Linked DNA regions of Lepisosteus oculatus. The protein of the gene in region 1 interacts with the protein of each later gene in a biochemical or structural test. Links are inferred from orthologs where the notes say so. Each region holds a gene or a part of one and is shown in the gene's direction. Other genes may lie near its edges.

The links.
Region 2: the proteins of low-density lipoprotein receptor-related protein 1 (region 1) and apoeb form a complex in vitro, tested with the Homo sapiens proteins (2 studies listed by IntAct, with this or other methods). The link is inferred for Lepisosteus oculatus from reciprocal best matches to the Homo sapiens genes LRP1 and APOE.
Region 3: the proteins of low-density lipoprotein receptor-related protein 1 (region 1) and plat form a complex in vitro, tested with the Homo sapiens proteins (2 studies listed by BioGRID). The link is inferred for Lepisosteus oculatus from reciprocal best matches to the Homo sapiens genes LRP1 and PLAT.
Region 4: the proteins of low-density lipoprotein receptor-related protein 1 (region 1) and disabled homolog 1 form a complex in vitro, tested with the Homo sapiens proteins (2 studies listed by BioGRID). The link is inferred for Lepisosteus oculatus from reciprocal best matches to the Homo sapiens genes LRP1 and DAB1.

The regions. Positions count from the first base shown.
Region 1 is NC_090696.1:18,807,263-18,815,400, reverse strand, and holds the start of low-density lipoprotein receptor-related protein 1, read left to right. Parts: upstream 1-4,924; 5' UTR 4,925-5,462; coding exon 5,463-5,559; intron 5,560-8,138. UniProt on the Homo sapiens protein: Endocytic receptor involved in endocytosis and in phagocytosis of apoptotic cells. Required for early embryonic development. Involved in cellular lipid homeostasis.
Region 2 is NC_090722.1:10,419,013-10,426,803, reverse strand, and holds the start of apoeb (apolipoprotein Eb), read left to right. Parts: upstream 1-4,209; 5' UTR 4,210-4,316; intron 4,317-5,578; 5' UTR 5,579-5,605; coding exon 5,606-5,648; intron 5,649-7,474; coding exon 7,475-7,625; exon of another isoform or gene 7,626-7,656; intron 7,657-7,791. Other genes in the region: apolipoprotein A-IV-like, read left to right, coding at 1-167. UniProt on the Homo sapiens protein: APOE is an apolipoprotein, a protein associating with lipid particles, that mainly functions in lipoprotein-mediated lipid transport between organs via the plasma and interstitial fluids.
Region 3 is NC_090697.1:65,894,708-65,902,420, forward strand, and holds the start of plat (tissue-type plasminogen activator), read left to right. Parts: upstream 1-4,559; 5' UTR 4,560-4,701; intron 4,702-7,713. UniProt on the Homo sapiens protein: Converts the abundant, but inactive, zymogen plasminogen to plasmin by hydrolyzing a single Arg-Val bond in plasminogen.
Region 4 is NC_090704.1:17,826,988-17,835,279, reverse strand, and holds the start of disabled homolog 1, read left to right. Parts: upstream 1-4,907; 5' UTR 4,908-5,180; intron 5,181-8,292. UniProt on the Homo sapiens protein: Signaling adapter of the reelin-mediated signaling pathway, which regulates the migration and differentiation of postmitotic neurons during brain development.

The DNA.
Region 1 (8,138 bases):
ACAGCTTTGGGTCCCTTGCTCTATTTTTTTTATTTCCACTGTAATTCTATGTTTAACCAAAGCACGATCGTCTCGAACACCACAAATCAGCTGCTCGGGCCGCAGTGTGACTCACACCTCTCACATTGGTTGACAGCTGTTCTCGCACGGCCCCGACTCAGCGTGTTCTCTCGTGTGCAGCGTGTGGAGCTCAGCGTTCACCCTTGATGCAGAAACCCTTCATGCTCACGAATCGCTCGGGTTGGGGGTGGAATGCAAAGACAACCTGGGCTGGGAAGAGACGGAGACTGACATCAACAGGCATCTGAGATGCTGGATTGACAGCATGGGAATGAGTGTAATTACTCTCACGTCTACTCCCAAAGCCTGCCTGCCAAACCAGGATTCGAGCTGAGTTAGAAACTGCTGTTACTTCAGACGCAAGGGTTTGTTAGCCTTCACTGCACCATTTCTGTCTCGGTAGCCTCCCCCTGTCTTGCAACTCAGACCAGCCCGAGATCTTCTTTTCCCCGAAGCCTCTGCAGCGCAGTGGCTGTCAGTGTGCACGTTGGTTTCGAGAACACGGTGGACGTTTGCTTAGACAAGTTCACGCCTCTCTGTGAAACCGAGGAATGTAACGCCCTAGCCGGCCACACGTAATAATAATAATTCCTTACACTTATATGGCGCTTTAGAAGTAATGGGGAATCCCACTACCACCACCAATGTGCAGCCCCACCTGGATGATGTGACAGCAGCCATAGTGAGCCAGTCCACTCACCACAACTCAGCTATCAGTGGGGAGGAGAACAGAGTGATGAAGTCAGTTCAGGGATGGGGATCATTAGGAGGCCATGATTGGTAAAGGCCAATGGGAAATTTCCCATTTGAGCAGGATGCCAGGGCAACACCCCTACTCTTTTTTTAAGAAACGCCCTGGAATTTTTAATGACCACAGAGAGTCAGGAGGAGAGTTTTATGTCTCATTTGAAGGATGGCACCTTTTTACAGTATAGTGTCCCCATCACTACACTGAGGCATTAGAACCCACACAGACTGCAGATTGAGGGCCCCTTGCAGGCCCCACTAACACCTCTTCCAGCACCAACCTTAGACTCCCATCCAGGTACTGGCCAGGCTCACACCAGCTGAGCTTCAGTCTTAAATTGCAGGGTGATATGGCTGCTGGCTATGGTAACAGTGAGCCAAGACCAGCCCTCTGTTCACCCAGGGTCAACTTCCCAGATCTGATGCAGAGATGCCCAACCTCCAATGCTCTTTGATCCCACAGATTGTCCTCCTGTCGGCTTTGGAGACTCTTTAAAAAACAGCAGCACTACTTCCGGGATACTGCCAGGAGATATTTGTGGCTGTCTCCCAGTGTGTGTGTTTTGAAAGGGTGTATTTAAGTAGGACACCGCTTATTAAGTGCACTGTTGTGGGTGGGTAAAGCACGCAGTCTCAAATTGAAGACTGGTGGACATTTCAGAAACGGGAGAAAAACAAATAAACATTGTGACACATACCCTTATGCTAAAAGGTTATCAGCAGAGAAACATCCTGCTGTGTGCATCCTGTGATACTCTAATGTAGTAATGCAGCAGTTAAAAAATGTAAAACACTAGGTACTGAAAGCCAGGCGAACTTGTATCTGAAATTACCATTGAAATTACTATTTGTGATAAAATCTCTAGAGCCTGATGGTATTCTGCCAGTTGTTCTAAAGGAAACAAGCTATGTTATTCATATACAACTCTTTTAACGGGCACTCAAGACAGGGATAATGTCTGTTGAATTGAAACAGCAAAAGTCAGCCCCATGTACTATTTTGGAAACAAGGACAAAAGTGGAAACTACAGAACTACAGGAAAATGCTTTTAAAATTGAGAACAGCAGGCACTTCTTTACGCCGAGGGCAGTGGGAGTCTGGGACTTGCTGCCCAGGCATATTGCTGAAGCTGTTACCCTGGCTTCTTTAAGAAATGGCAGGAGGAGATCCTTGGATCAGTTAGGCACTAGTAAAAACAATGAGGTAGAAGCACAAAAAGGCAAACTCTTGTCTGTAACCTTTTTATGTTTTAATGCTCTCATAATATTTACCAAGATACAATTCCAGGAGAGTGGTGCCCTCAATTGCTTGGGGTGATATGCACTGCAGAGACAGCAGTGTGGGACAAATCCACTGCAGAGACAGCAGTGTGGGAGACATTCACTGCAGAGACAGCAGTGTGGGACAAATCCACTGTAGAGACAGCAGTGTGGGAGACATCCACTGCAGAGACAGCAGTGTGGGAAAAATCCACTGCAGAGACAGCAGTGTGGGAGAAATCCACCGTAGAGACAGCAGTGTGGGAGACATCCACTGCAGAGACAGCAGTGTGGGAGACATTCACTGCAGAGACAGCAGTGTGGGAGACATCCACTGTAGAGACAGCGGTGTGGGAGACATCCACTGCAGAGACAGCACTGTGGGAGACATCCACTGTAGAGACAGCGGTGTGGGAGACATCTACTGTAGAGACAGCGGTGCCCTGTAGAGACAGCAGTGTGGGAGACATCCACTGTAGAGACAGTAGTATGGGACAAATATACTGCAGAGACAGCAGTGTGGGAGAAATTCACTGTAGAGACAGCAGTGTGGGAGAACTCCACTTTAGAGACAGTAGTGTGGGACAACTACACTGTAGAGACAGCAGTGTGGGAGACATCCACCGCAGAGACAGCAGTGTGGGACAAATCCACTGCAGAGACAGCAGTGTGGGACAAATCCACTGCAGAGACAGCAGTGTGGGAGACATCCACTATAGAGACAGCAGTGTGGGAGAAATACACTGTAGAGACAGCAGTGTGGGAGACATCCACCGCAGAGACAGCAGTGTGGGACAAATCCACTGCAGAGACAGCAGTGTGGGAGAAATCCACTGCAGAGACAGCAGTGTGGGACAAATCCACTGCAGAGACAGCACTGTGGGAGACATCCACTATAGAGACAGCAGTGTGGGAGAAATACACTGTAGAGAGAGCAGTGTGGGAGAAATACACTGTAGAGACAGCAGTGTGGGAGACATCCACTGCAGAGACAGCAGTGTGGGAGAAATACACTGTAGAGACAGCAGTGTGGGAGAAATACACTGTAGAGACAGCAGTGTGGGAGACATCCACTGTAGAGACAGCAGTGTGGGAGAACTCCACTGTAGAGACAGCAGTGTGGGAGACATCCACTGTAGAGACAGCAGTGTGGGACAACTACACTGTAGAGACAGCAGTGTGGGAGACATCCACCGCAGAGACAGCAGTGTGGGAGACATCCACTGCAGAGACAGCAGTGTGGGAGACATCCACTGCAGAGACAGCAGTGTGGGACAACTACACTGTAGAGACAGCAGTGTGGGAGACATCCACCGCAGAGACAGCAGTGTGGGACAAATCCACTGCAGAGACAGCAGTGTGGGAGAAATTCTCTGCAGAGACAGCAGTGTGGGACAAATCCACTGCAGAGACAGCAGTGTGGGAGAAATACACTGTAGAGACAGCGGTGTGGGAGAAATACACTGTAGATAGAGCAGTGTGGGAGAAATACACTGTAGAGACAGCAGTGTGGGAGACATCCACTGCAGAGACAGCAGTGTGGGAGACATCCACTGCAGAGACAGCAGTGCCCTGTAGAGACAGCAGTGTGGGAGACATTCACTGTAGAGACAGCAGTGTGGGAGACATCCACTGCAGAGACAGCAGTGCCCTGTAGAGACAGCAGTGTGGGAGACATTCACTGTAGAGACAGCGGTGTGGGAGACATCCACTGTAGAGACAGTAGTGTGGGAGAAATCCACTTAAATCCATGTGTGACGGTATTTCTTTTTGGGACCCTAACATTTCTATCTGGGGTCCCCCAGTAAACTAGTACTACCCTTGGGAATCTTGCACTTTACCTTCCTGACCTACTGAGAGAAAAGAGCATTTTCTATTACCACTATCCCATGTCCAGCATCATCAAAGGACAGGCAACAGCAGACATAGGAGCAGCCCTGCCCACACGAGGGCCAAAGGCCATAGTTTCTCTGAAAGTAAGATTTCTTAATCTTTTGGAACAAATTGATAATATCAGTTGCTGATGAGCAAGTCTTCTTAATGTCTGCCTGAGACTGTGAAAGACTTTTTTCTTTGCTTTTTTGATTGATCAGCTCAGACGCTGGTCAGATAAGACACCCCGGTCCAAAGGAGGACATTCTGAAATCCCATGAAGCACGAGGCAGTGAAATATTCTTCCCAGTATTCCCGCTGATGAGCAGGATATACAGAGAGATCTGAGCTGTACAGTTGACATTTCTGTGCAGCACCCTCTGAATTAACGTGTCTGCATACCTGCACTGGGCTATTTGAGGGCTGATCAGCACACGAACCAGGCACTGTTCTTTCACAAGAATTAAGGCACTTCTGCTTACATTTGCTGAATGTCTTCAATTTCTAAGCAGGAATAAGCGAGCCGTACAGAATACAAACTCGTAAAGCACAAACCAAAATCCAACACTCATAAAATTCGTGTCGTGCTATTTTGTCCACCGTTGCAAAGTCACTTTAAACGAGTGAAAACGGAAGGAGAAATGACAGAAGGTTTGTTATGCATTAGACTCGCGCCGTGAAAGTCTCTCCCTCCCTGTGCCCCTTTCACTTCATGAAACTAAACCCATTTTGGCTCCAGTCCACGGGGCCGGCCTCTAACAGCTATGCCTGAAGCCGCCAGATCCAAAATGGGGGCAATTAGAGAGGCAGTTTCAAAAGGTTCTTGTGCGCTCGATGAAGAAAAAGGTAAAAAAAAAACCCAGCACGCCGACCCCGGCGCGTGCGCACACGGCGAGTGCCGCGTAGCTGCTCCTGGCTTCGGAATACCATTGGAGCGAGTGACGTCATCCCCTGCCCGCTGGGCTGTGTGGCTGCAGCGCCGCTCTTCTCCGCTCAATCCGTAACCACCAGCAACAGAGGCGGCGGTGGGGTGGTGAGGGGAGAGGAGCTTTTTAATTTTTTTTTTCCTCCTGCAGACAATATCATCAACATTACAGTCAGTGAGACAGAAAACAAAAACAGCCGATATCCATAGATCAGATAACGTTTCCTTTTTATTTTTCATGCGCACGATTTGGTCACTTTACTGACCACCTCAGGTCCTTTTTTTTTTTCTACGTAGATGTGGCTGCAAATCAATAAGGCTACATGATAACCACAAGACGAGCCGTAGCCTCACGGGGCTGAAGAAGCCTCGTTTGCTTTTTCAGATCAAAAAACGGCATTTAAAAAAAAAAATCTGAATATTGTCGTCGCACCTTTATTTCGAGTGTGCGTGCCGGAGGACGCCCGGAGAATCTCGTCGGGGATTCGAGTCCGGACTACAAAACCGCGGTTCGGGAAGAACCGGAGTCCCAGCTGTGTGTTTCTTGAAATCTTTTTTCGGTTTTCTGTTAATCTGCCCTTTTTTTTTTTGCACAACCATGGTGTCTCACAAGGCAGAGGCTCTGGCCACGGTGTTGCTTGTCCTGGGAATTTTGCACAGTCTGGAGGTTACGGCTCCCGCCAGAGCCGTCGATGGTAAGAAGCCGTGATTTATTAAAAACGCTGCACCTTTCCAGACAGATGTACGCGTCTGTTTATCCGCTGCTGCCGTGGTGAACGCATTTCCGAAGTGGAAACGACGCTTTTATGTTCAGCTCTCGCTCGGTTTACCTGAATTGTCGTGCGTGCCTCGCAGCATTTCGTGAAATTGTGTGTTCCTAATGCGGGCGATTAGGGGATGGACAGTTGTTTTTTCCGCCTGTAAAAGAGACCAGGCAACGTTTTCCTCTGTGAGCCAGGTCACACGCACAGGCATCTGCCGTTAGCTCGGCTACCTGCATGCTTGTCATAAGTCCGGGTAAACGTGTGTTTTGTGTGCCTTTCCGAGAGTGAAACAAACCGTGCTCACGGGACCCCAGAACCCGTTTTTGCATGGCTTGAGATGTTGTTCTTAGAGGTAAACCGTCTCAATATACGGCTATCAGTTGGAAACAAAAGGCGGGTTAAGTGGATTTTTCTGCCGTGTGATTGCAGGCGGGGGAGGTCTCCAGAAAATGCATCAACGTGTTTTTGTTACATCTCCGCTGCTTCTCTCGCCTCAAACACAACAATGTAACATTCGCATGCACGGTTTTTCATCCTCACTGGTAGGGAATGTGAGGCGCTCTCCTGATTTTGTACCTAGCGAGAGCGTATTTCCTTGTAGCCCCCGTTTTTTTAAAATAAATTGCTTGTATAAACAGCGCCATAGAATGCAATGGGCCTGCTCCCCCTGTCTGATTAAGTAACCACAGCACACGGCTTTCTCCTGCGATCAACAGATCTCTGATGGTTTCGTGCCAGTCCTGAAATGCTTTTTTAAAAACACTTTCTCCCCCCTTTTTCGCGAGACGGCGCTAGGTGGGTTACAGTTTTCCCACCCAAAACGAAAAGGGCGCTTTTGGGAAAAGTCAAGTGCAAAGTCTCATAATAAAAAAAGTACGATCCTACTTGGATGCAGATTTTGAGGAGTGGGGAATACAACAGCACTGATTCAGAGACTGAAGGCGCAGGGGGCGGCAGGAGAGATTACGTGTGTAGTTGTGTAGCTGCCCGAGCGGTGACTGCCGTCGGAAACTTGTGCAGCTCCCGACTGCACGAGGCGAGAGAACGCGTGTTGCTGTGTGTGTTGACACAGTCGGTTTGGGGCTCCGCTCCACTCCCGCGCTGATGGTTAATTCATAGCGTTCTTCTTACTGCCTTTGCTCACCAACCCCCCTCCTCCTCCTCCTCCTCCGATTTTGTGAGGGGCTCGGCGGGGAGAGGCAGTCCGGTGAGACCAGGGGGCCGCCGGAGTGTGAACGTTGCGGTTGTGCGTGTCAGGGGGACTCGACTCGCAGGGAGCTGCTCGGCTCGGCAGGGTCCTGTGAAATGCTGTGCAACAGGGAGAGGAGATTTGAAGCGGTGCCCGCCTTTTAAACTGAAGTGTGTGTTGTGTGTGTGTGGGGGCTGTAGCATGCTGTGTTCCCGATGAAATGCGTTTATTCCCGAATAACGAAAAGCGTTCAAAAGTTGGCGATGCTGAATTTTGCACGTACGGTAGAATCGCGGTATTCGTATGAGCCAGGAAAGACAACCAAACGGGCTACTTCACAAACCTATCATTGCGCACAACTGTTGTTCATTATTTTTTAACTGGCTTGTTGCAGGTCAGCAACTGGCTCGTTCTTGCTTCGGACACTCTGCAGCACCTAAAGCACATCTGGAGCCAGAGTTACGAAACTCGTCCCACTGCCAGGCAGGCAGGAGGGTATTGAAAAAGCTGAATTGATTTCAGATAGCGTCGCAGATTCCGAGCTCTGGAAACAATTATGCGCGCGTCGCTCTGGGTACGTTTAGTAATGAAGGCGTGGGGCGTGTGTAGGGGAAGTGTTCGCTTAAGAAACATTTCTTTTCCTCTGTCGGCAAGTCGCGATATTGTCTGAACTTCCGAGTGAAGAGCAGCCCCCCTCCCCTCTCAGCTATTTTAATGACAATATCCCCACAATCCCTGCCATGTAATTAGCCTCACGATACCTCGTAATAAGCTACTCTAGAAACAGAAAAATACAAAGCGTTTTCTTTTGGCTTAAAGACAGGGCGCGCACAGCTGTTGAGACTTTTTCGTCCTTTCAGTTCCGACTAATGAGGTCTGAGTAACGTTCTGGAAATTCTTGGAAGCGATGCCTGTCGCTGTTCTAAGGTTGCAGGAGAGAGAATGGTATTTCCATATTTTGCTCCAAGACGTTAAGACGTATTTTGTCTGAGACATGGGGCAGGTCCTTTATTATTTTTAGTTTTTTTAAGGCGTTCAAAAATAGTGCTTGGGTACCTTTTATAGTACAAAATGTGCTGAAGCTACAGTTGCTCAACCTTAGGCCCTCGCTGCTTGCAGTCCATATTAAAGTGGAATTAATTTCGCTTCGCGTAGCCTGCCATTCATTATGCAGTGCGTTTCTGTTCCACACACTGGCCACCCCTTCAAAAATATCTTGAATAGTTTTCTAAAATGCAGAAATGAGACTTTTTTTTGAGGTAAAAAACAACAACCTGGGATTGTTTGTGACAGCTGTGAAGTCAGTGTATTACTACCTTGA
Region 2 (7,791 bases), on another chromosome or scaffold:
AGGAGTTCCGCAGCGGCATGGCGCCCTACGCCCGCAGCCTGCAGGAGCGCCTGGCCCAGAGCCTGGCGCCCTACGCCGAGGACCTGCGCGGCCGGCTGGACCCCTACGCCCAGGACCTGCGGGCCCAGCTCTCCTCCCTCTGGGACTCCTTCCAGAAGAGCTTCTAGATCGGATCGCCCCCCTCCACTGATCTCTCCCGCACCCTGGACCCGCGCACTTCCCGCCACACAGACCACCACCACCACCCCCGCTCGGAGGGTGCCGATGGTTTGCTCCGCTGGACGCACCCAGGCCTGCCCCTGGGGTCGGAGCGTACCATGGCCCGGGGAGGGGGTGTGTGAGCTGTCTTCAGGAGCCCGGCTGTAAGACGAGGAGGCGCCGAGCTTCCCCTTCCCACAATCCCTCTCTCCGCTGACCGTCCCCCATCACACAGCACAGCCTGGCTCGGGGTTCGAGCAGGGCAAGAGTGTGGGGGGTCTCCCCTGTGTGTCTTACTCTGTACTGTAACATTGTGCTGCTTTCCTCCTTAATTTATGCGAATAAAGAGTGAAAAAATGAGAAAACCCCAGTGTACTGTATGATCTTTTTCTTTTCTCAAAAGGTTTTTCTTTTTGTAACAAAAGCAAAAGAACGACCTTTTTTTGTAAGCAGAGTAACCCAAGCCCGGCCCACTACCCCCTCTCTTCCTCTGTTTTCACCTGTTTCTCCTCCCCAGTGTCCCCGTGCCTCTCTTTATCCTAGAGAAATTATCTAGAGCTGGGAGAGAGGATGGAGAGGGAGGAGAGAGAGGGAGAGAGAGTGGAGTTCAATCACAGACCAGGATAACACTGAATGGGACGAACACCCCATAGACACTCTGCGCATGGAGCTCTGTAAAAACAGCCTGTGTGCAAAGATAAACTCCTCACAGCGCATGCAGGACTAAATAAGGCCAATACCCAGTACTAACCAACTTACTCAAGACAGCTCTAGAATACTGGTTACCCCCGAGAGACAGTGACCAGAAATCTACCACCACCAGGCCCTGCTGAGCCCAGAGAAGAGCCCCTCAGCCAGCTGGTCCTGAGGCTCACGGACACCATCCAGGCCCAGGACAGCCCAGCTCCAGCAACACGAGCGAGGCTCAAGCACTTCACAGCACAAGCCAAACAACACTGCCTCACCCACTGGGACACACACACACACTGGAATGCTACAGAACCCTAAACACACAACACACACCAGGAGAATACCTGAGCAGTGTAAGAAACAGCAAGGAGAAACAGACCCTGAGGAAGGACATGCTCAGAGACCACAGCCTGGCCACAGAAACTGGACCTGACTGTACAGTGAGGAAAGGCTCTCAGTGACCACAGCCTGGACACTGACACTGGACACAGGCAGACCTGGCTGTCCAGAGAGGACAGGCTCACTGACCACAGCCTGGACACTGACACTGGACACAGGCAGACCTGGCTGTCCAGAGAGGACAGGCTCAGTGACCACAGCCTGGACACTGACACTGGACACAGGCAGACCTGGCTGTCGGCTCTTGGCCCAGTTGTGGGATCAGATGATCTGACATCCCCGAGTGCTCGGTGACGCACACCCATGCGACTGAGGAAGCTGAGAACGGTGTTGTCAGCAGTTCCCTCTCGGTGGCCTGGGACCTCGTGGTGCTGGCGCTCTGGTGGGGGGGCAGGGAGGGACGACGCCAGCGACTCCCGAGCACATGGGAGAGCCAGGGCTCGGTACTGTGCTGCCCTCGGAAACCCCCCTGCCTGCAGCCCCCCAACCAACAGGAAGCAAAGCTGAGAAACTCAGCATCTCCACATCTGTGTGTCAGAGTGTGGAAAAGCACAGCACCAAGCCCAGTGAGATCAGGGTAAAAGCACAGTACAGTGCTGTAAAGCCCAGTGAGATCAGGGTAAAAGCACAGTACAGTGCAGTAAATCACAGTGAGATCAGGGTAAAAGCACAGTACAGTGCAGTAAAGCCCAGTGAGATCGGGGTAAAAGCACAGCGCAGTGCAGTAAAGTCCAGTGAGATCAGGGTAAAAGCACAGCACAATGCAGTAAAGCCCAGTGAGATCAGGGTAAAAGCACAGTACAGCGCAGTGAAGCCCAGTGAGATCAGGATAAAAGCACAGTACAGTGCAGTAAAGCCCAGTGAGATCAGGGTGAAAGCACAGTACAGTGCTGTTAAGCCCAGTGAGATCAGGGTAAAAGCACAGTACAGTGCAGTAAATCACAGTGAGATCAGAGTAAAAGCACAGTACAGTGCTGTAAAGCCCAGTGAGATCAGGGTAAAAGCACATTACAGTGCAGTAAATCACAGTGAGATCAGAGTAAAAGCACAGTACAGTGCAGTAAAGCCCAGTGAGATCAGGGTAAAAGCACAGTACAGTGCAGTAAAGCCCAGTGAGATCAGGGTAAAAGCACAGTACAGTGCAGTAAAGCCCAGTAAGATCGGGGTAAAGGCACAGTGCAGTGCAGTAAATCCCAGTGAGATCAGGGTAAAAGCACAGTACAGTGCAGTAAATCCCAGTGAGATCAGGGTAAAACCACAGTACAGCGCAGTAAATCACAGTGAGATCACGGTAAAAGCACAGTACAGCGCAGTAAATCACGGTGAGATCAGGGTAAAAGCACAGTACAGCGGAGTAAATCACAGTGAGATCAAGGTAAAAGCACAGTACAGTGCAGTAAAGCCCAGTGAGATCAGGGTAAAAGCACAGTACAGTGCTGTAAATCACAGTGAGATCAGGGTAAAAGCACAGTACAGTGCAGTAAAGCCCAGTGAGATCAGGGTAAAAGCACAGTACAGTGCAGTAAATCACAGTGAGATCAGGGTAAAAGCACAGTACAGTGCAGTAAAGCCCAATGAGATCAGGGTAAAAGCACAGTACAGTGCAGTAAAGCCCAGTGAGATCAGGGTAAAAGCACAGTACAGTGCAGTAAAGCCCAGTGAGATCAGGGTAAAAGCACAGTACAGTGCAGTAAAGCCCAGTGAGATCAGGGTAAAAGCACAGTACAGTGCTGTAAATCACAGTGAGATCAGGGTAAAAGCACAGTACAGTGCAGTAAAGCCCAGTGAGATCAGGGCAAAAGCACAGTACAGTGCAGTGAAGCCCAGTGAGATCAGGGTAAAAGCACAGTACAGTGCAGTAAAGCCCAGTGAGATCAGGGTAAAAGCACAGTAAAGTGCTGTAAAGCCCAGTGAGATAATCCTTCTGTCTGATATCTCAGCTCTCAGCTCTGTCTCCGTCTCTCAGTTCAATTCTGAGCTCCACTGGCCTGCCTCATCCTCACACTCGTCACATCAGAGAGAAGTCACCACAGCAGACAACAGTGCAGAAGACACCTACAGTACCTACACAGCACAGCCAGCCACAGGACAGTGGGAAAAGAGAGCAAAGTCAGAGATCAGTCAGCAAGTATCCAGCGCCCGTGGCACAGACTGTCTCCTGGAGTCATGTCTTTACACAAAGAGCTGCGGGAGGGTGGAACAGACTGCCAAGCCGTGTTGTGGAAGGCAGTAACGTGGCGTCACTCAAGACACAGCTGGGGGGGATCGTCCGGGCAGGATGTGGAAGCCGATACTTGGGCTCCTGGGGAGAAACAGCTGGATGATGCTGGGATCAGTCAGCGAGCAGCAGGGCTGTGTCTGAGTGTCTGAGTGTAACCTCTCTCCTGTTGCTAGGCTCCGAGGTATGTGCCCTGTCCCCCCAGACGTCTCCCCCTCTGCCTGTACTGTGCCAGACGCTGCGCCCTCTCATTCTCCCTGGAGTTTGAGTTTTGGTTAATGGTTACAGTTAATGATGAATTCCTAAGAGGCGTCTTGGGAGCTGGGCTGCTTGACGCCGGTTCCCTCTCGCTCTCCCCGGGGGGGGTGGGTGGGGGGGCTGTCCTGTCTGCGCTCGGCGCGGCCCGATAAGATCAGAATGCGGGGCTCGCGGGTGAGCGCGTTATCGCTGCGCGCCGATAGCAGGAGCGCTGAGCGAGAGGCGGGCGGACCTCGGACCTCGGACCGCGGACCTCGGAGGGCGCCACGCCTCGCCGCACCTGGGCACCACGGGCTGCCGAGCTCGGCGCTGACCCCTGCCTGTCCCCGGACACGAGCGCATCCACACCCACCCCCACACACACACGCGCGCGCGCGCGCCCCGAGCGCCCGCCCGCTTTGGCACGAAGTAACCTCGCGAGGAACTTCATCACACACACACACACGCACACGCACATCCCACATCACACCCCACCCCACGCGTGTATAAAAAGGCGGTCCGCACACAGCAGAAAGTCACCGAGGAAGAGGCAAGGCGGGGAGCATCGATCCAGGTGAGACAGCCGGTCCTTTCTGTAGACGCTACACGCCGACCTCAGGTCCGAGTTGAGTGGGAGGTTTAACGTCTCCGCGATTGCTCGTGGAGCAGGGGCGATGTCAGCACCGCTCTGGCAGCGGGGTGATCAATTATAAGGCGCGCTTTGATTCTGAGACGGAGTTATGAAAGATCGATTTCGCTGTCTGACGCGCCGATGTGGCCCGGACGAACGAGCCGATAACTCGACGCGAGCGTGGGGTGTCCGGGCGTGGGGTGCTGTGGGACTCTGAGGACGCGCTGCTGTCCGAGTGGATCTGACTCGCTCCGGAGCTTAATCACGGGGAGGTGCGCGCAAACAGGGGGTAGAAACAGACCTGTTAACAGACAGAGTCACTTCTCTCTCCTCTCAGTCCTGCTCAGTTCAAGAAGTTTCATTGGCATCTACAATCAGTGTTGCCAAAGCAAAACTAATACAATAAACATGAAACATCTACAGCCATTTACAACACAGACACAGTCATACGATATTTACATATAGACATCTAGAGCAGTACTGGGAGACAGGCTCACTGGTCCTCAGGCTGGGACAGGAGATCACACACTGGGCTGCCAGTTCAACTGAGTTCCTTCTCCCTCTCCCAGTAGGATTGGGAGCTGTTGTGATTCTGGCAGGTGTGGGGAATTCTGGGATCAGATGTGTAAATTTGGGGAAGAATGTCTCTCTAATCCCAGAGAATCTGTCACAGTGCAGTAGGAAGTGCACCTCAGTCTCTGATTACCCTCGCTGGCAGTGGGACCACGGCCTGTCCTCTCTGGACAGCCAAGTCTGCCTGTGTCCTGTGTGTGTGTCCAGGCTGTGGTCACCGAGCCTATCTTCTCTGGACAGCCAGGTCTGCCTGTGTCCAGTGTCTATGGCCAGGCTGTGGTCACCGAGCCTGTCCTCTCTGGGCAGCCAGGTCTGCCTGTGTCCAGTGTGTGTGTCCAGGCTGTGGTCACCGAGCCTATCTTCTCTGGACAGCCAGGTCTGCCTGTGTCCAGTGTCTATGGCCAGGCTGTGGTCACTGAGCCTGTCCTCTCTGGGCAGTCAGGTCTGCCTGTGTCCAGTGTCAGTGTCCAGGCTGTGGTCACTGAGCCTGTACTTCGTCTCTCACTCTTCTCTCCATCCCTCTCCCATTCTCTCACTCCTGTTTCTCTATTTTCTAATTCTATCACTCTTCATCCCTCTCTCCCTCGGTCTCCCTGCTGTATCTGGAGCTACATTTGTGTTTCATTCTGCAGCTGCTGCACAAACCCTCCTGTGGAACCATGAGGACTCTGGTTGTGATTCTGGTGTTGGCTGTCATTGCAGGTAAGTGAGTCTCTGGCACAGTCGAGCCAGACTGGAGTGTCAGTGTGCTGGACTCCACAGGGACTAGAGGAGTTTAGAGCCTGTGACTGGGCTGTGTCAGTGTGCTGGACTCCACAGGGACTAGAAGAGTCTAGAGCCTGTGACTGGGCTGTGTCAGTGTGCTGGACTCCACAGGGACTAGAAGAGTCTAGAGCCCAGTGACTGGGCTGTGTCAGTGTGCTGGACTCCACAGGGACTAGAGGAGTTTAGAGCCTGTGACTGGGCTGTGTCAGTGTCCTGGACTCCACAGGGACTATAAGAGTCTAGAGCCTGTGACTGGGCTGTGTCAGTGTCCTGGACTCCACAGGGACTATAAGAGTCTAGAGCCTGTGACTGGGCTGTGTCAGTGTGCTGGACTCCACAGGGACTAGAGGAGTCTAGAGCCTGTGACTGGGCTGTGTCAGTGTGCTGGACTCCACAGGGACTAGAAGAGTTTAGAGCCCAGTGACTGGGCTGTGTCAGTGTGCTGGACTCCACAGGGACTAGAAGAGTCTAGAGCCCTGTGACTGGGCTGTGTCAGTGTGCTGGACTCCACAGGGACTAGAAGAGTCTAGAGTCCTGTGACTGCGCTGTGTCAGTGTGCTGGACTCCACAGGGACTAGAGGAGTCTAGATCGCTGTGATTGGGCTGTGTCAGTGTGCTGGACTCCACAGGGACTAGAAGAGTCTAGAGCCCAGTGACTGGGCTGTGTCAGTGTGCTGGACTCCACAGGGACTAGAAGAGTCTAGAGCCCAGTGACTGGGCTGTGTCAGTGTGCTGGACTCCACAGGGACTAGAAGAGTCTAGAGCCTGTTACTGGGCTGTGTCAGTGTTCTGGACTCCACAGGGACTAGAAGAGTCTAGAGCCTGTGACTGGGCTGTGTCAGTGTGCTGGACTCCACATGGACTAGAAGAGTCTAGAGCCTGTGACTGGGCTGTGTCAGTGTGCTGGACTCCACATGGACTAGAAGAGTCTAGAGCCCTGTGACTGGGCTGTGTCAGTGTGCTGGACTCCACAGGGACTAGAGGAGTCTAGATCGCTGTGATTGGGCTGTGTCAGTGTGCTGGACTCCACAGGGACTAGAAGAGTCTAGAGCCCAGTGACTGGGCTGTGTCAGTGTGCTGGACTCCACAGGGACTAGAAGAGTCTAGAGCCCAGTGACTGGGCTGTGTCAGTGTGCTGGACTCCACAGGGACTAGAAGAGTCTAGAGCCCAGTGACTGGGCTGTGTCAGTGTCCTGGACTCCACAGGGACTAGAAGAGTCTAGAGCCTGTGACTGGGCTGTGTCAGTGTGCTGGACTCCACAGGGACTAGAAGAGTCTAGAGCCCAGTGACTGGGCTGTGTCAGTGTGCTGGACTCCACAGGGACTAGAAGAGTCTAGAGCCTGTGACTGGGCTGTGTCAGTGTGCTGGACTCCACAGGGACTAGAAGAGTCTAGAGCCCAGTGACTGGGCTGTGTCAGTGTGCTGGACTCCACAAGGACTAGAAGAGTCTAGAGCCCAGTGACTGGGCTGTGTCAGTGTGCTGGACTCCACAGGGACTAGAAGAGTCTAGAGCCCAGTGACTGGGCTGTGTCAGTGTGCTGGACTCCACAGGGACTAGAAGAGTCTAGAGCCTGTGACTGGGCTGTGTCGGTTTGCTGGACTCCACATGGACTAGAAGAGTCTAGAGCCTGTGACTGGGCTGTGTCAGTGTGCTGGACTCCACAGGGACTAGAAGAGTCTAGAGCCTGTGACTGGGCTGTGTCAGTGTGCTGGACTCCAGAGGGACTAGAAGACACACAGACTCACTGACCTGTGTCCCCAGGCTGTCAGGCCCGTGCTGTGCCCAGTGAAGAGCCCAAGACGAAATGGGAGGAGATGGTGGACCAGTTCTGGCAGTATGTGGCTGACGTGAACACCAAGATGGATGGAGTTGTGGACAACCTAAAGAGCTCCCAGCTGACCCGTGAGCTGGAGTGAGTACAGCCTGCTGCAGCACCTCAACACCTGTGTGAGAAATCAGAGCAGGAAGACATTGCTAGGAAGTATGGAATAGAGGAACACAAATTTGCTATTTCTGTGTCATCACACTATGTAAGCAGAACTGATCAAAGAGACCCCTAATTCTGGAGGTGTCTGTCT
Region 3 (7,713 bases), on another chromosome or scaffold:
ATATGACAGCAGCCCTAGTGTCCTTGTCATGGTCAACATATAAAATATTCAGCAGTTGTCATCTAGTCATTTCTGACTTTAAAAAAATACAAATAGTATGCAATTACAGGAAGACATGTGAATGTTGTCCCAGTGGATGCTGTGTTGGAGTCTGCTCTGTTTTGTGCCTGGTGTTGTGCTTGAGCATGGTGTAACAGGGTGTCTTTCACAGCCCCAGCTGGAACAACAGTACATTGCAAATTAAAGGCATTACAGCCATCAGTGTGAAATGGGTACAAGGTGGGATATACCCTGCACAGGACGCCAATCCATCACAGGGCACACACACTCTCAGACCAGCGTGACTTTTCCCAGAAGCCAGTGTGTCTTCGGACCAGTGGAGGAAACCAGAGCACAATTAGATCTAAATTTTCAGCTGACTTCGGGGACACAAAACTGCCTTCACACTTTGGACGTTAACTCACAAATCTACTCATTTAAACACAGATCCGATCTACATATCCACTCATTTTAAATTCAGATATCCACTAATTGAAATACAGGTCCTATCTACATATCCATTCGCTTTTAAATACAGATCATATATACACATTCTCTCATTTTAAACAAAGATTCTATATACATATCCACTCACTTTAAAAACATATACAGTATGTATACTGTACATACCCACTCATTTTAAGTACAGATCCTATATGCTGTATATATTCCCTCATTTTAAGTACACATCCTACAGTATATAGATATCCACTCTTTTAAATACAGATGCTATAGACAAAACCAACCCTTTTAAATACAGATCCTATATGGATACAGATCGAGGGGCATGGGTAAAACAACAGCTCACGGGGAACAGTCAGTAATGATTTTCAAGAACGCTTTGCACTTGTCGGAGCTGTCCCATATCTTCCTAACGCGGTCTTGCGCCTGACTCCACCAGGCGCAGTGGCGGACAAGCCCGCGGAGCGCCTGTCCTCTGTGAAGCCCGCGTCGCAGTGCCTTGCAGCCGGGCTGCTGACAGACAGCGCTGCCGGGCCCGGGGCGGCCGGAGCCAGCATGACACACGCGGACAGCATGTTATGGGCTTGAGTGCCAGAGTGCTGTCATGGATCCGGTTCGAGAAATCCGTTCGGTCATCAGGCGCACGGGCGCTCCATAAAGGTTACTAAAACAGTGACGTCACACGGTGACTCCTATGGTATCTGCCGGCGAAACGCACTGATTAGATCGAGATACGGCGCAAACCGTACTTTCATCCATCATCTCACCAGAAATAGTCATAAATGAGTAGCATTTCATCTGAAAACGCCCACATTATGAGATGTTAACGCCGCGGGTTGCTAAGAAAATTCTCCAAATATTGTCTTTTACGGTCCACTTGCAAATTCTGTCAGTTTCGCATACTGGATTCAATTTCAATTAAGAAGACATGATGTCACTCTCAGGTCATGGAAGTGCAGAGGGAGGTGGTTCTTAAACGTGTTTATTTATTGTGCATGTGTTTCACAAAGTGGCATGACTGTAGAGAAACACAACTCTGTTGTCTGTCTCTGTTGTTGAGATAGCCAGTATCTCTTTTAATTAATAATACTTAATGACTGAGGAGAGTCCGAATTTAAAACTAATATTACTATTTTCAATTATTACCATTCTTTAATTGTATTTATTTGCTTATCAGGCGTCGATATGCAGTTTTCACAGGGTGTTACAGGGGGTGATCTCGTTCCAGTTTATTTCACGGGCGATATATACGTTGTAACAATATAAGCTTGACTTGGTTAATTGTTCTGGCTAATCGCAAATTGGGGTTTCCTGACCTGCGTCAGAAGTACGCGATAAATCACGTGATCGTGAAGGCTCGCGCGGTCCTCTGTACAGTCGGAATTCCTGCGAGCTCGAGCCCAGGGCTGCGCTTGTTTTGTTATTACGTCGCCACTGTATGATGTCAGGCGGCACCTTGTCAGACCGGAAGATTCCTTTTACTGAAGATTACAAAGGGGCAGTTCCGTCTGTTGAGAAATTCAAAGAGAATGCCAGAAATGCAGTAAAATAAAAGTTAAACCTCATGGAGAGAAAAGGAACGGACACTGGTAAAACAAAGAAAAAAGTAACAAAAAGAATACAGTGTTGTTCCTTTTAAAATAGAGTGTCTGAAGTGACTTAATCATTCTCATTGTTGGTCCTATATGATATGCTGCATAATGAAAACGACAAATCTATGAAGAAGCTCTGCGGAGGCATTTCGGTGACTGCTTCGTGTATTCTAGCTCTCTCGGATTCCACCAGACTCTGTTATCCAAATCATTTTCATCCCTTCTGTACTGACAGACCAACACCTTTAGTATGAAAATGCACATTAATATATACAAACACACATAAATAAATTCTTAGCTTAATAGCTAATAATTGTATAGCTGTATTAGTGTCTGTTGCAGAAGTACGAGTTGCAAGAGTAGTAGTAGAGCAGTATTAATGACTGTAGCAGAAGCAGTAATATACAGTAGCTTTATTAGTGTCTGTAGCAGAAGTAAGAGTTGCAGGAGTAGTAGTATAACAGTATTAATGACTGTAGAAGAAGTATGAGTTGCAGGAGCAGGAGTACAGCAGTATTAAAGACTTTAGCAAAAGTAAGAGCTGCAAGAGCAGTAGTATAGCAGTATTAGTGACTGTAGCAAAAGTAAGAGCTGCAGGAGCAGTAGTATAGCTTTATTAGTGACTGTAGCAAAAGTAAGAGCTGCAGGAGCAGGAGTATAGCAGTATTAGTGACTGTAGCAAAAGTAAGAGCTGCAGGAGCAGTAGTATAGCTTTATTAGTGACTGTAGCAAAAGTAAGAGCTGCAGGAGCAGTAGTATAGCTTTATTAGTGACTGTAGCAAAAGTAAGAGCTGCAGGAGCAGGAGTATAGCAGTATTAGTGACTGTAGCAAAAGTAAGAGCTGCAGGAGCAGTAGTATAGCTTTATTAGTGACTGTAGCAAAAATAAGAGCTGCAGGAGCAGTAGTATAGCTTTATTAGTGGCTGTTGCAGAAGTACGAGTTAGAGGAGCAGTAGTATAGCAGTATTAGTGACTGTAGCAAAAGTAAGAGTTGCAGGAGCAGTAGTATAGCCCTATTAGTGACTGCACCAAAAGTAAGAGCTGCAGGAGCAGTAGTATAGCAGTATTAGTGGCTGTTGCAGAAGTACGAGTCAGAGGAGCAGTAGTATAGCCCTATTAGTGACTGCACCAAAAGTAAGAGCTGCAGGAGCAGGAGTATAGCAGTATTAGTGACTGTAGCAGAAGTACGAGTTGCAGTATAGTATAGCAGTATTAGTGACTGTAGCAGAAGTACGAGTTGCAGTATAGTATAGCAGTATTAGTGACTGTAGCAGAAGTACGAGTTGCAGTATAGTATAGCAGTATTAGTGACTGTAGCAGAAGTACGAGTTGCAGTACTGTATAGAAGTATTAGGGACTGTAGCAGAAGTACGAGTTGCAGTATAGTATAGCAGTATTAGTGACTGTAGCAGAAGTACGAGTTGCAGTACAGTATAGCAGTATTAGTGACTGCAGCAGGAGCCGTTGCCACTGAAATAGAAAAGGAATCACTATGCACAGCAGTTGGAGTACAGGCGGTAAATCAATCCTATTATTATTTTTGATGTTTCTAATGTAGAGTAGCAGTGATTATCGAGATGTTACAGGACTCAGTTCTGTTTTCTTCTGAGGTTATTCATACGTGTCCAGCACGTCCAGAAGCAAAACTGGGAATTATTTAAGTGCTGATTTATGTAACCAAGTACCTTATTTATTCATCTTCAGTATCTTATTCACTCATTCATGATGATGATGTTTTCTATAAATGCTGCGAAAACACGCAATTGGAGACTCCAAACAACTCTTAGAGGCCGCCCTGCGACCTGCTTCATCTACTCTCCTCTTTAGAAAACGTCCGTCTCTGTAACAGGACTCTTTCTGGAGTATATCATCCGCCAGGGGGGTCACATTCCTTCTCGAAGGAGATCTCAGAGGTAAACAATCTCCTTTGAATTGTATTTTTTTTTCCTGTCGGGACCATGACAACTCATTTTCTTTCTTATAAAACCACGGGTGTTCGGGGGCGAAACATTGCACAGCCGAACGCGAGTAAAACCCTTCGAGTCATTAAACGAACCTATAAAATATATACTGTATACACACGCGCGCCCGCCATTGTAAAAGGCGCTAAACAAATGATTATAAAACCAACACAGCACACACTTAAAACTGTCAACGGAGTTGAGGTCACGGCACGTCATTTCCAACTACTTTATGAAAAATCTTAATCTGGAGCGGAACCGAATTGATGACAATCGGTTTGTATAACTATTCCTATCTCTGACTCACCCCCCATCCTGAATCCATCCAATGTGCGGGTCAGGCCCGGTGCCAGCCGGCGACTTCACCCTATCCGTCTCTCTGGTGCCCCAGATGAGCCCCGCCTGGAGAGAGGCGGGAGGTGCCCGTCACCTCCCCTTCAGAGCTGCCGGATCATCTTCACCGAGACCTCGGCGCGCATAAATAGGGGCTCCGCGCTGCAGGCAGGCAGAGCAGCCTGGTGTCAGCGAGCCTGCAAACACAGCGACTGGACTTAACCGAACCCGACAGAACTCGAACCGCACTGCGATCGCTTCCGTGCCCATCGAGTACACAGCCAGACTACTGAAGGGAGACCTTGGTTTCAAAGGTGAGTTGTCCGTTTGGCACCCTTTAACAAGTGCAGCGCTATAAACTTTTACTAAAACCATTACTTGCAGCAAAGCGACGAACGACCTTCTTGTGATAACAAGTCGTATCTATACAGTATATATAGTATACAGTAGAGTATACAGTATCCATATACTATACTATATAGTTTACACTATAGCTGCTGTACAAGAGCGCACCTGTTTTTCCGCACAGTGGTAACAGCTGCATTAAAAACATCTCATGTTCTTCTTTTCTTAGTAACTGCAGATGTTTATTACTGGTGAAATCGATAATACTGCTGCATCTTTGGGGGACACTTAATTTAAAATATATATTACTTTTTGTAATACTTTGAATAAAGCAGTATCACTCCTTATCAGCATGCGTCCGGCAATTACACGTTTGCGATTGCAGGTTTTTAGTAATCGTGTAGTTATTTCAGGCTAATTCCTACTGCAGCTTGTGTGAAACTGGAAATGATGAAGAAAAACGCGAGACGGCAAAGTTTTAACTACGAATTCACAGCGTTACTGCCAAAGCGCAGACTGCCCTATTCGTTTTCTTTGCCCGACTGTAGCGAAAAGCTTGCGATGAAGTTGTTATCGATTCTGAATGCCGCATCCGCGACGTTTCTGAAGCCTGGATGCTCTGCAGTCCTCTGCGACTCCGCGTCGATTAACCACGATCAGAATCTCACTGCAAACTCTGATTTCATGAGCGCACCCAGAGATTTCGACTCTTAGATAAGACGTTGTCCTCCCTTCGTCTCCAGATTCCCTGTTTTTTTTTAACGAGGGCTCCCAGACAGTGCAGGCGGAAAACAGAAGAGTACAGCAATTCCGTATCTGCACTGAAAAAAAAAAACGTTCGTGAAACGTTACCTTAGATTCAGTGACGTGAGGGGTTTTGTCTCGCAAAAGGTGCTGAGAAAGACACGCACGAGCATCTACAGTATCTGGGCAGGAATTATACGGGCTGAATAAATCCTTTGTCTCTCCACAGCGCGGGGGTGTCCCGCTTTTATACAGGAGGGTACAGTGCTTTAGGAATCCGCTGCAATAAGAACTCTATTGTTACCGGCAGCCCCTTGCTGGATCTGAACCAGGAGATTAGAGCAAGAGGTGGTGTACCGCTCGCTGGCGCATTAGCCGAGCCCCTGGGATGTGTGTTGCGCTGCCTCGGGGGTGTCGCTCTCCGCCGCTGTTTGCGTGACCTCGGGCTACGCGGCAGATGCGACCCGGTCGGTCTTAACAACGCTAAACGTACAGTGGTTCAAGCTCCGCGGCTCACAGTTTAATCAGGGCAGGGAAACGGAACCACAGGCTCCGACAGATTCCGACCGGTTTTACTTTGCCCGGCCGGGGCGACAGAAAGTCTCTCCGCGTCCGGAGATTTCTTCTGCTCTCCTTCGCTTCAGACCTGCAAGGCTATACGGTATTTGCCGTGTTTATCACGGCCTTGTCCTGGAAAGGTGGCTGTAGGATGAAGGCAATACGTGTCAAACCTCATACAGCCGGTAATAAAAAACCCTGGGATTCAAAACTGGTTATTCCTCCTGCCGCGCCGGTTGCACCTCTTATCCAGGAAATGGGAAAATATATGGAACACGAACCCTGAGTTACGAAACAGCTGGACTGTGTATTATTGTTATTTCTTTTAATACAAGGTATCGCCTTGCAGCTGAGGAAGAAAATGAGCTCTTTCCTTGAATTAGCGGGGTCAAAAGTCATCGCAGTGCTGGGTCTTGGCCAGTAATTTCGGCCTCCCGTCTCTTCCGCCTTGTAATTGCCGGAGAGGAGAGTTTCTGGTTGCCGGGCTATGGTGACTAAAGCTTTACTCATCCACAGTTCTCTCCCCTCCTGCCAGATCCGTCTCTCCCTTCCCGCCGCTCTCTCTCTCTCCCTCCCTTTTTCCCGTGTCTTCAGCTCCGCTGCCGGGCTGGCGACGGCACTCGGACCCAGTTCCTCGGGGTCTGTGGGTGGACCGTGTCCTTGAACACGCGGGGAGGTAACTGGTAATACTGTAGGTGTGGTTTCGACCTGCCTGCCGTGGGAATCGGACGAACCGTGGGAAGATGATTCTTTCTATCTGAAACAGGGCTTTATCGTGGCACAGAAGCGCATTGCTGCCATCACAGGGGGAAAAAAAGCGGTTTCTCGTGATTTAGGATTTCCACCTATCTAGTAATTATGAGATTGTACATTATCTCATAATTTCGAGAAAATGATCTCGTAATTACGACATCGTACATTATATCTCGTAATTTCGAGAAACTACCATCTCGTAATTACAAAATAGTAAATTATCGTGAATTATGAGATACCAATGATAATTTGAGTGTATGAACAGCTTATTACATTGTGCAATGACACAGCACATAGAAGTTACAGATAGTTCAGCAGGAACTGTGTGTCTAGTGTTACTGACGGTGTCCAGAGCTGCAAAAGGTATATGGACTTTTCTTTCGACTGGGGTTCATGACGTTACAATTCCACAGCCCTTATAACCTTGAGGGCGCTCACACTAATCCTTTAATCAAGTGTACCGTGCGATCGATTCCACTGCCGAAAACTACCAGTCAACTAATGATAATTCAGGTATTCTCTGACAATAGTGCTATCGCACGATTATCACAAAAGGTACGCGATAATGTCCCAGAGACAACACATGAAATAGGTGTTTTCCGTTGATGAGAGCGATGCGCTTCCGTATTACAGCGACGATTGAAACCTAACCATCCAGATTCAAGTTCACAACCGAGTATTGGCAGGTCTGAACACGCTGTCGTGCGTGGACGTTTTTAACCAGAGGTACACAGTAGGTACAGCACTACAGGAAATGTGCGTTTTCACACACAGGGGACGGGTTAGTCCGCAGTAATATTTAAAGTATCATGCTCATGATTGTTTATTTAGGAACACAGCTGAATCCGTAAACTCCCGTCGCGTCCGTGAACGCAGAACTGTCCACTCCCCACGCGATATTTGTCCACGAGCAGTTCGAGAGCCCG
Region 4 (8,292 bases), on another chromosome or scaffold:
TGTCAGAAGGTCTTAACTATCAGTTAGCACTTGGATTGTTTGAAATTACCCATTTTTCCTTTTCCTTCTAATTAAAAACCTATATATGAAGACTGTCCTCTGAAGGTCTCTCTAGTATGGAAGATAAATTAATTTTAAAATAAAGGAGTATATCAGGGTTTGACTTACAGAATCACTTGTAAATAACTTACAGTTCATTATAAAAATATACAGACCTCTCCTATAGTGTCCATTCTTGTGATATTACTTATACATACTGATTTTTAAATAAGTGATTGAAACATGAATGCATAAACTGAAAGTGTAAGAGTTTAGAAAAAAACATTAACAACAAATATGCTAGTTTTGTAAGAATTTCAATCCCTAATCTCAATATTTGGTAGAAGCATCTTTAGCAGCAACAACAGCCATGAGTCTTGTAGGTAAGTATCTTCCAATTTTGAAAACTGTCTTGGTCCAATTTTTGCCCATTTGTCTTGACAGATTTATTCAGGTTTTCTTAAGCTGCTATTAAGTTGTTTAGAGATTGCTTATGGACAGCAGTTTTTAAGTCTGCACAGATTTTCAGTAGGATTCAAGTCAAGACTTTAATTGAGGCACTCAAGAACATTCATTTTCTTTTTCTTAAGACACTCTAGTATAGCCGTGCTGTAGATCATTGTCTTGCTGAAAGGTGAATTTCCATCAGAGTTTTAAGTATTTAGCCAACTGAAACATGTTTTCCTTTAGTATTTGCCTGTACTTTACTCCAACCATTTTTTCTTCAATCCTAACAAGCTTTCAAGTCCCTACAGAAGTTAATCATGTCATTAACATGATAATACCACCATCATATTTGACTGTAGGAATGGTGTTTACTAGGAGATGTGTTGTGTTGTTGATACTTGATATTTATTTATTTCACAAAAAGTTCCAATCTGGTCTCATCTGACCACAGCACCTTTTACTACTGTTCTTTTTGCAGGATCTTGCAGGTTCTTTGTTGCAAAACTATAGAATTTAGCTGTCAGGTTTGCTCTCACTGGAACGAGAGCTAGATGAGTGATTTAGAGTTTGCCATGGGAGTCGGCCACACTTCCACTCACCTGTCACTCAGTGCCGGTTACCAAGGAAACACATTCCAACAAGAACCTCTATCACCATGGGGCAAATTGCATCCAGACCCACATCAAGTGGTGCAGAATATTTAAGGTCTGCTTGGACAGTACTCACGGCTCTGGTATAGAGTTTAGCTCTGACCTCAGCTTTGTTTCCTCGCTCTGTTCCTGAGTTACTTTGTGTTTATTATTTTCCTGGATTCTTGACTCTAGCTTCAACCTGATCAATTCTGTGGATTTGTCCCTTTGTGCTTCTGTGATTTCCAGTGCTATGAACTATGCCTGCTTGTCTCAATTATGATTGTGGAATTCCATTTATGCTTTCACTGTCTCTCTAGCTTTGTACCATTTACAATCTGACCACAGTGTAATTGTCCGCACCATATTTGCCTGCACTTCTCCTTATGCACTTTTCTCTCTTTCGCCCAGTGCATGGGTTCATCTTACGTCTCTCACAGCTGCTGGTTAATTCCACCTTAAGCAGTGGACATGACAAGTATATCAGAGCCCTGAGTAATGTCTGACCTTGGATATTCTGCATCACCTGATGCAGATGTGGATTTAAATTGCCCACAGGTGATACAAGTTGCCTGTCAGAATCTGTTTCTGTTGTTACCAGTACTGAGTGACAGGTGAGTGGAAGTTTGGCCGACCACCGTCTCAAACTCTAGATCACTCCACAGTGTTCCAGTGAAAGCAAGCATATTTTCTCCCATTTCAGCTATTGATTTCTGTAGTTCTTTCAAAGCTGTCATTGGTAGTGTTGTGCTATCACAGTGGTTTGCCTAACCTAATTCCACTGTGCTCAGCTACTTAGTTTAGAGGGAAAGCCTGATCAATTCAGTATCTAAGTGGTAAAAGGTACTGTCAGTTTCTCAGTGGCTGAGTAGACTTTTCTCAGAGGGATATTCAGAGACTTCTATATTTCTGTACCCTTTACTGTGTTTTACAAAAACTTTATCCCTGACTTGCTTTAAAAACTCTTTAGTCTCCATGGTTGAGTCTTTGCTTTAAATTCACTACCTAACCAAGAATCTTCACAGAGCCTGATGTTTTTATTCTGAAATTATGAGTTATGTGCAAACATTATCATACACGTCAGATGTCACTCAACTAAATATGCTCTTTAATTTGGTTACAAATTAATTTAGGTTTGACACAACAATGATTTGTATTCTAATGCAGTTATGGCTTTTTCTATTTCTCTTTCGTATTAATTAGATATTTTATTTCTCTCTGTCATGACGACGTCCTTCGGCTAGAGATTGCCCTGGAAAACCATCATATTCTAACAAGGGCTCATGGTTTTCCAGGGGTTTGTTGCTCTGACCAGATCATGTTTTTGTGATCCGTGTTAATTAGCTCATTATTCAATTCCCACTTTTTTATATAAAGCCAAGGGGCTGCTCTTCATTTTTCCACATGCACGTTCTCTTGCACTTCTGTCTCACCCCACATTTGTGTCTTGACTGCACTTACAGTATGTTGGTGCCTCATGAACGTCCTGAAGTCTGTTTTTCTTTTTTTTAGGGCTCTTGACACAATGAGGTGACCCCTCAAACAATAATTATTTCCTGCCTCGTATATGACTACACCACCTAGCAATACAAACAGGAGGCTAGGACCGCTCTACTAAACCAGAGGTTCTATTCATATCCCAGAATCACCAATGCACACACAAACCAGCAACAAACATTAGTATCATATAAGTTCCCTTTTTATTTTCTAAGCACAACAACATTTACTATTACTCCAAGACCCAAAGAAAACAGCATTCTCAGCAACAAAAAGGTACTTCCAAGCATCATAATGATTTCCTGAGTGTCTGCTGTCCTTTCAGATGATGAGGAGAGGGTGTTAGAAGGTCTAAATGGTACAGAGAAGTACAGCAACACATAGAAGAGGGATGCCACACAGTCCAATTTCCCCAGTATACATCTGGGCTATATCGGGAGTCCTCCTGTAGGCTGTAGTTCCCCTTTGTTCATTAACTACTCACCAGACAGGTTTCTTTGCTCCTTTCTCTCAAGTATTAAAATGTCTCTACACAGTACCTCCATTCCTCTGCTTAGAGCTGCCTCTGTTCAAGCTCAGAACTTTGTATCCCTTCTGTTTGCCATCTCCCTCCCCCACCCCCGGCCTCAAGTCGGCCCTTCTATCTGTCCAGCTCCTTTCCAAGGAAGCTCACAATTACCCTGCATCACCTGAGGCGGTAGTCTCTATTCTAGCCAGTACCTTTTAACTTCACTTTTTCTTTTCACTGCTCATCACCTCAACCCTCAAATTTTCCGATCTGCACCCCTGGCCTTTGAGGGCTGCCTTCTAAGCCAGTTCAGTTCCTTTTCAGGGATCCAGTATTGGGGTCCCTTCCATACCCAAGACTCCCTCCAAAGGGCTTTAATCAGTAGCCTTTCTTTTCAGCAGGGATGTGGTTAGCCTGGCTTCTCCTAGGATCGATGATTTCTTCCATTACTAACTGACCTGGGCTGATTAGCCCCATTGGCCAGTAATTAATTCTCATTATCATCTTTTACTTTTCAGTCTCCGGTCTCCTGTACTTGGGTTCTGACAAATCACCACCCATGCAGCTGTATCCAGCTACTGCATTACATGCTCTTTTAATTTTTGGTTTGAAATTGTGGAGTGTGTTAAGTATACAACAAATATTAAGAACTTCTAAAAGTAACTTGACTGCAAGTTTAAAGGTAATAAATTTTAGACTGAACAAGGGCCTGAATATTTTGTTGACACACTGTAGTTTGAAGTAATGATGGTTTTGATTTTGAAGTTCTTCACTGGAAAGTAAAAATTTGTCACACCAGGTCTATGAAACTGGTTGGACACCTTCAAATGTCATATCTAAACTTTTCTGTTGGCAATGTCAAGTGTTTATTTAGAGACACTCTTGTAAACAATCAGTAATGTGAAGCAAAGGACTTTCCATGGAGTGATCTTTCTACTGTCTTTTTACAAAGCACATGTGAACACTGTTACTGTAACAAAGTTCGTGCCAGAGGTGATGAGCAAGGAATTAAAGGATCTGACATGTTATATGTAAGATACCATACCCCCCAATATCCGCAGAACTAATGTAAAAAAAAATCACACCTCTGATTATATGCCAACTAATGTATTAACATGGTTATTTCTTATGTAACACAATAAACCTCTATGAGCATTTGCTCTCTGAATGTTCTAGCAGTCATCCTGCATACCTATTTGAACCATTGCATTGCAAAAAATATTATTGGCAGGTATTCGAAGACCTAACTTGTGGCAAGATGTTTGAATCATAATTGCTTATGCTGATTATGTAAATAGATTCCCAGTGATATAAACCAAATGGTCACTCCTGCTTGAGTTATTAATGCTGCATTATGCAAACTGAATTTAATGTAACAATTGCACGGTGCTGTCTACCATATTTACTTGATGGTCCAGAATGATTTTCTTCTCTAAATACACATTTGAGGGTGAATTAATGAGTAGGGAAAGAAAGAAAACGATATGATATACATGCATTATGCTCTAAATACATTACAGGAATGTGTGGTATTCTATGGATTATATATTATATATTTATTCCTTTTTAACAATGCAGTTCTGATGGGGCTGTTTAGTTGAGTGCTTAGCAGGAGACTGATAAGGACGTACTGCCTCTGGAAATCAATTCATCCATGCCTTACTCCTCCTTAAGCCTGTGAAAATCCTCATTGCCAAGGATACCGGGGAAGGAGGGGTGGAGGGTATGGGAGAGAGGGGAGGGGTGGAGGGATCTGCTATTAGGAGGAATGTGGTAGTGATGTATAAGGTATGAACGATGTGGCCTGCAGATTGCTGCTGCCGCTATTGCTGTGACTGTAGGTGTTTGCTGAAGCTGGATTGGAGCTGCTGAGGATTTTTCCTACTCGGATACCACTTTGCAAGGCAGGCTTCCCAAAAAGAAGGGGGTCTACCTTCTCCAAACAGAAAGGCTTAGCCTCTGGAGTGGGACAAGTCAAAGGGAATAGGACTCTTCAGGTGGGAGTCACGCCAGAGGGAGTGAGGGGGTCTGTATGGGGGACAGCTGCACACCAGCTCAAGGTAAGAGAATTTGTCTATCACATTGCTTTTCATTGCATTGCAGGAGTGCAGGGAGGGAAACCCTGGGCGTTCCAGTCAGTAAAATGTCATTGAGAAGGCTATTGCAGGAGTACCTTGGAACACAGCTGCATTAGGCATCTGTCTCTGTGAGTGGTGATTTGTCCCACTTCAGCCTTATTAATTCCAAGTTTTTTGTGTTTGTGTTTTTTTAGAGGTTTATGTTATGGAATGGAAAATGCAATGGGTCTGCTTGGATACAGACAGTAGACAGTTTGTCATCAATTCCAGCTCTACTGCTGCTGTACTCCTCCTCTGTATGTGTAGTACTTCGGGATATGATCACATACAGGGGCATCAAAACCTTAGACTAGCTTCACTAAACTATAAAATGTACTTTAATTCATTTTCCTCATGTCTCTCATATCTTTATTAAATTGATTTTCTAATTCCATAAAGAGGATTAAGATAAATATTGAAGTACTACATTGATTATTCAAGACAAGCTCTCCATCAATAAAATTGCAGTCCATCTTGGTGTTTAAATATCAACCTTTACTGTATGTCAGTCTTTGTCTTATCAATCTCTCTACAGGTGTATGCATTTGCTTAATACACCCCTGTTACAAGTATCACAGATCTTGGATGTCTTTTTTCAGTTAGTGGCTAATAATAAGATCTAAATGGAGTTTAAAGGGGTGAAACGCCCTAAGTATGTATGTATTTGTACAAGGATAAATGCAAAAGATTACAGTTCTTTTCCATTGAGGCAAACAGCTCAAAAGGAATTCTGTGTGAGATGGAATCAAAATGCAAATAGTTATTCCTGTAAAAGTTTAACTCTTATTTCTGAAAGAGCACATTTAAAAGGGGCTTGTCATTATATTGTACCTGCTGTGAAGCTTTAGTTCAATCCTGAAGTGTGACAGCACTGTCTGTGCCCCATTTTTGCATGTGTGTCTGTGTCAGTCAGCAAAGGGCTGTAAGGAAAGTAATATAACTGGAGTACGTGCTCTAGACCAGTTCTTTGGCTAAACTGCCAGTCATAGTATGTCCTTTAAACTTGCTGTGTGTTAAAATTATCCTCTTTTTCTACCTCACTGATTGTACAAGGAATTAGACGACATTCTACATAAGCATATGTACTGTATTACTGATTGAAAAACAATGGAGAAGAGGAAGTCAAAGAGGAAGTCAAACAGACTACAGCTTTTAAGGGTTTGTCAGATTTTGTTTTATATATGTGCCTTACTACTGCAGACATCCTCTTTAGGTTTTACAACTTGGGTCACTTGTATTTTTCAGAGAGACAGTACACTGCTGATTTTTGGAATTATTTGAAGTGGAACTGCAGTGTGCTGTGTTTTGCAAGTGCCTTTGGTGCTGCTATTATGCATCAGCTGTCTGAAATATTGCTCAACTGCCTGCAATTCAAAAGACACATAAGGGACGCATTGTACTACATCACAATGGAAATTGCAAGAAATATTCACAGCCCAAAATAAATATGATACATGTACTGTACTTCTCTCCCTTGTTTAATGATTTGGAATATTTCACTTCTAAAACTGAATGCATGTACAGTATATGTAGTGGCCTGACTGTTTTTATACAACAACAAAAATTCTTAAGCTAAGATATACCTGTATAATCGGTGTGAAATATGGTTAGGTCACTCAGTTTTACTGACATTATTACTATTAAAATATGATAAAATCCTGCATATAACGCCTTCTTTTTTATTGATTTATTTCTATTTTCACTACTGCACTTCATTCCTTTGTATGGCAGCCTTCAAGCTGGTTTACGTTTTGCAAGGCAACATACAGTAGTTCAGAAGCATTATTTATATATTTATTTTTCTATTAATGTGCTAATTTAGATGTGTATTCTGAATACAGATCAGCAGCTGATGTTTAGTGACTGAACCACATTTACGACAGAGGCTGATACTAATATACTAAAAAGTGAATTACCTGATTCATGCTGAAAAATACAATGTTTAGCTGTTGATGTAATGCATGTCCATTACATTGGAACAGATTGAGATGTTCTGCAAAAATATACTGTTGTATTAGTTAAGGATTAAAATTAAAATTAATTCATCATATATATATATATTTCCAGTAGAGAAAACTCTACAGGAAATCCCTTAGTAATTCAACGGTTCTTTAGTACGTTGAATCTTTATCAGATAGATGCTCACAGAAAGCATTTCTTTATGTTGGTATTACATGTAATCACTGTGAATGGTATATTAGAGAGCACTCAATCCAGTTCTTGTGTTTTGGTATAGGTTATGTATTTTTGTATATTAAAGAAAATCATTAACTTTTCATCAATTTTTCATTTTTGTTTAATTAAATTGAGGTATTGTCTTAAGAAATGAAAACAAAGCTTTTTAAAATTAGTCTATTTGCACTTTATCTCATACAATATCTGGATTACTCTCATTTATACACATGTATTTGAACAGTAGACAACAAAAAATATAGTTAAACACACTGTTCACTTCCTAACACCTGTTATTCATGGAAAATGATTAAATGTCTTTGTCAACTGAAGATTGTTGTTTAATGTCCACTGAAATTATATGGCTGTCACGCCTTCAACGTCCAGAGGACACCTACTCTGTCCTGTTCCTAGTTTCCCTGTGCTTTTCTTGTCCTTCCAGTGTGTCCTTGTGTGGGGCTATATATTTCCGAGTCACCCTTTGCTCTTCGCTTAGCATTGAGGGTTCAGATGTCTTGAGACCCGCCTAGCACCAGTGCATCTCCTCTGCAGCCTGGGGGCATAGGTTTCTACTGGACATTATCTGAGCCCCTAAGCACGGACTAACCTCTTTGTTGCCCCTTTTGCCGCTATGCATAGGGTCTTTATTGCTCTCCTGGCCATTCCATGGCATGCCTTTCCGACATTCGTGACAGAATGCTGAGCCATACTTTGAAACCGCATCTATTTTTGTTTTCCCGCATCGCTTTGGGATTTTTTTTTTCAGTTCTTCTATTCTAGTCGCGGAATGCTACTCCCGACATACATGCGTGTGAGAGGTATGCCTTCCAGACATTCGGGTACGAATACCTGGCTTTCCTCGGGTTGTCACTCCCGGCATCCG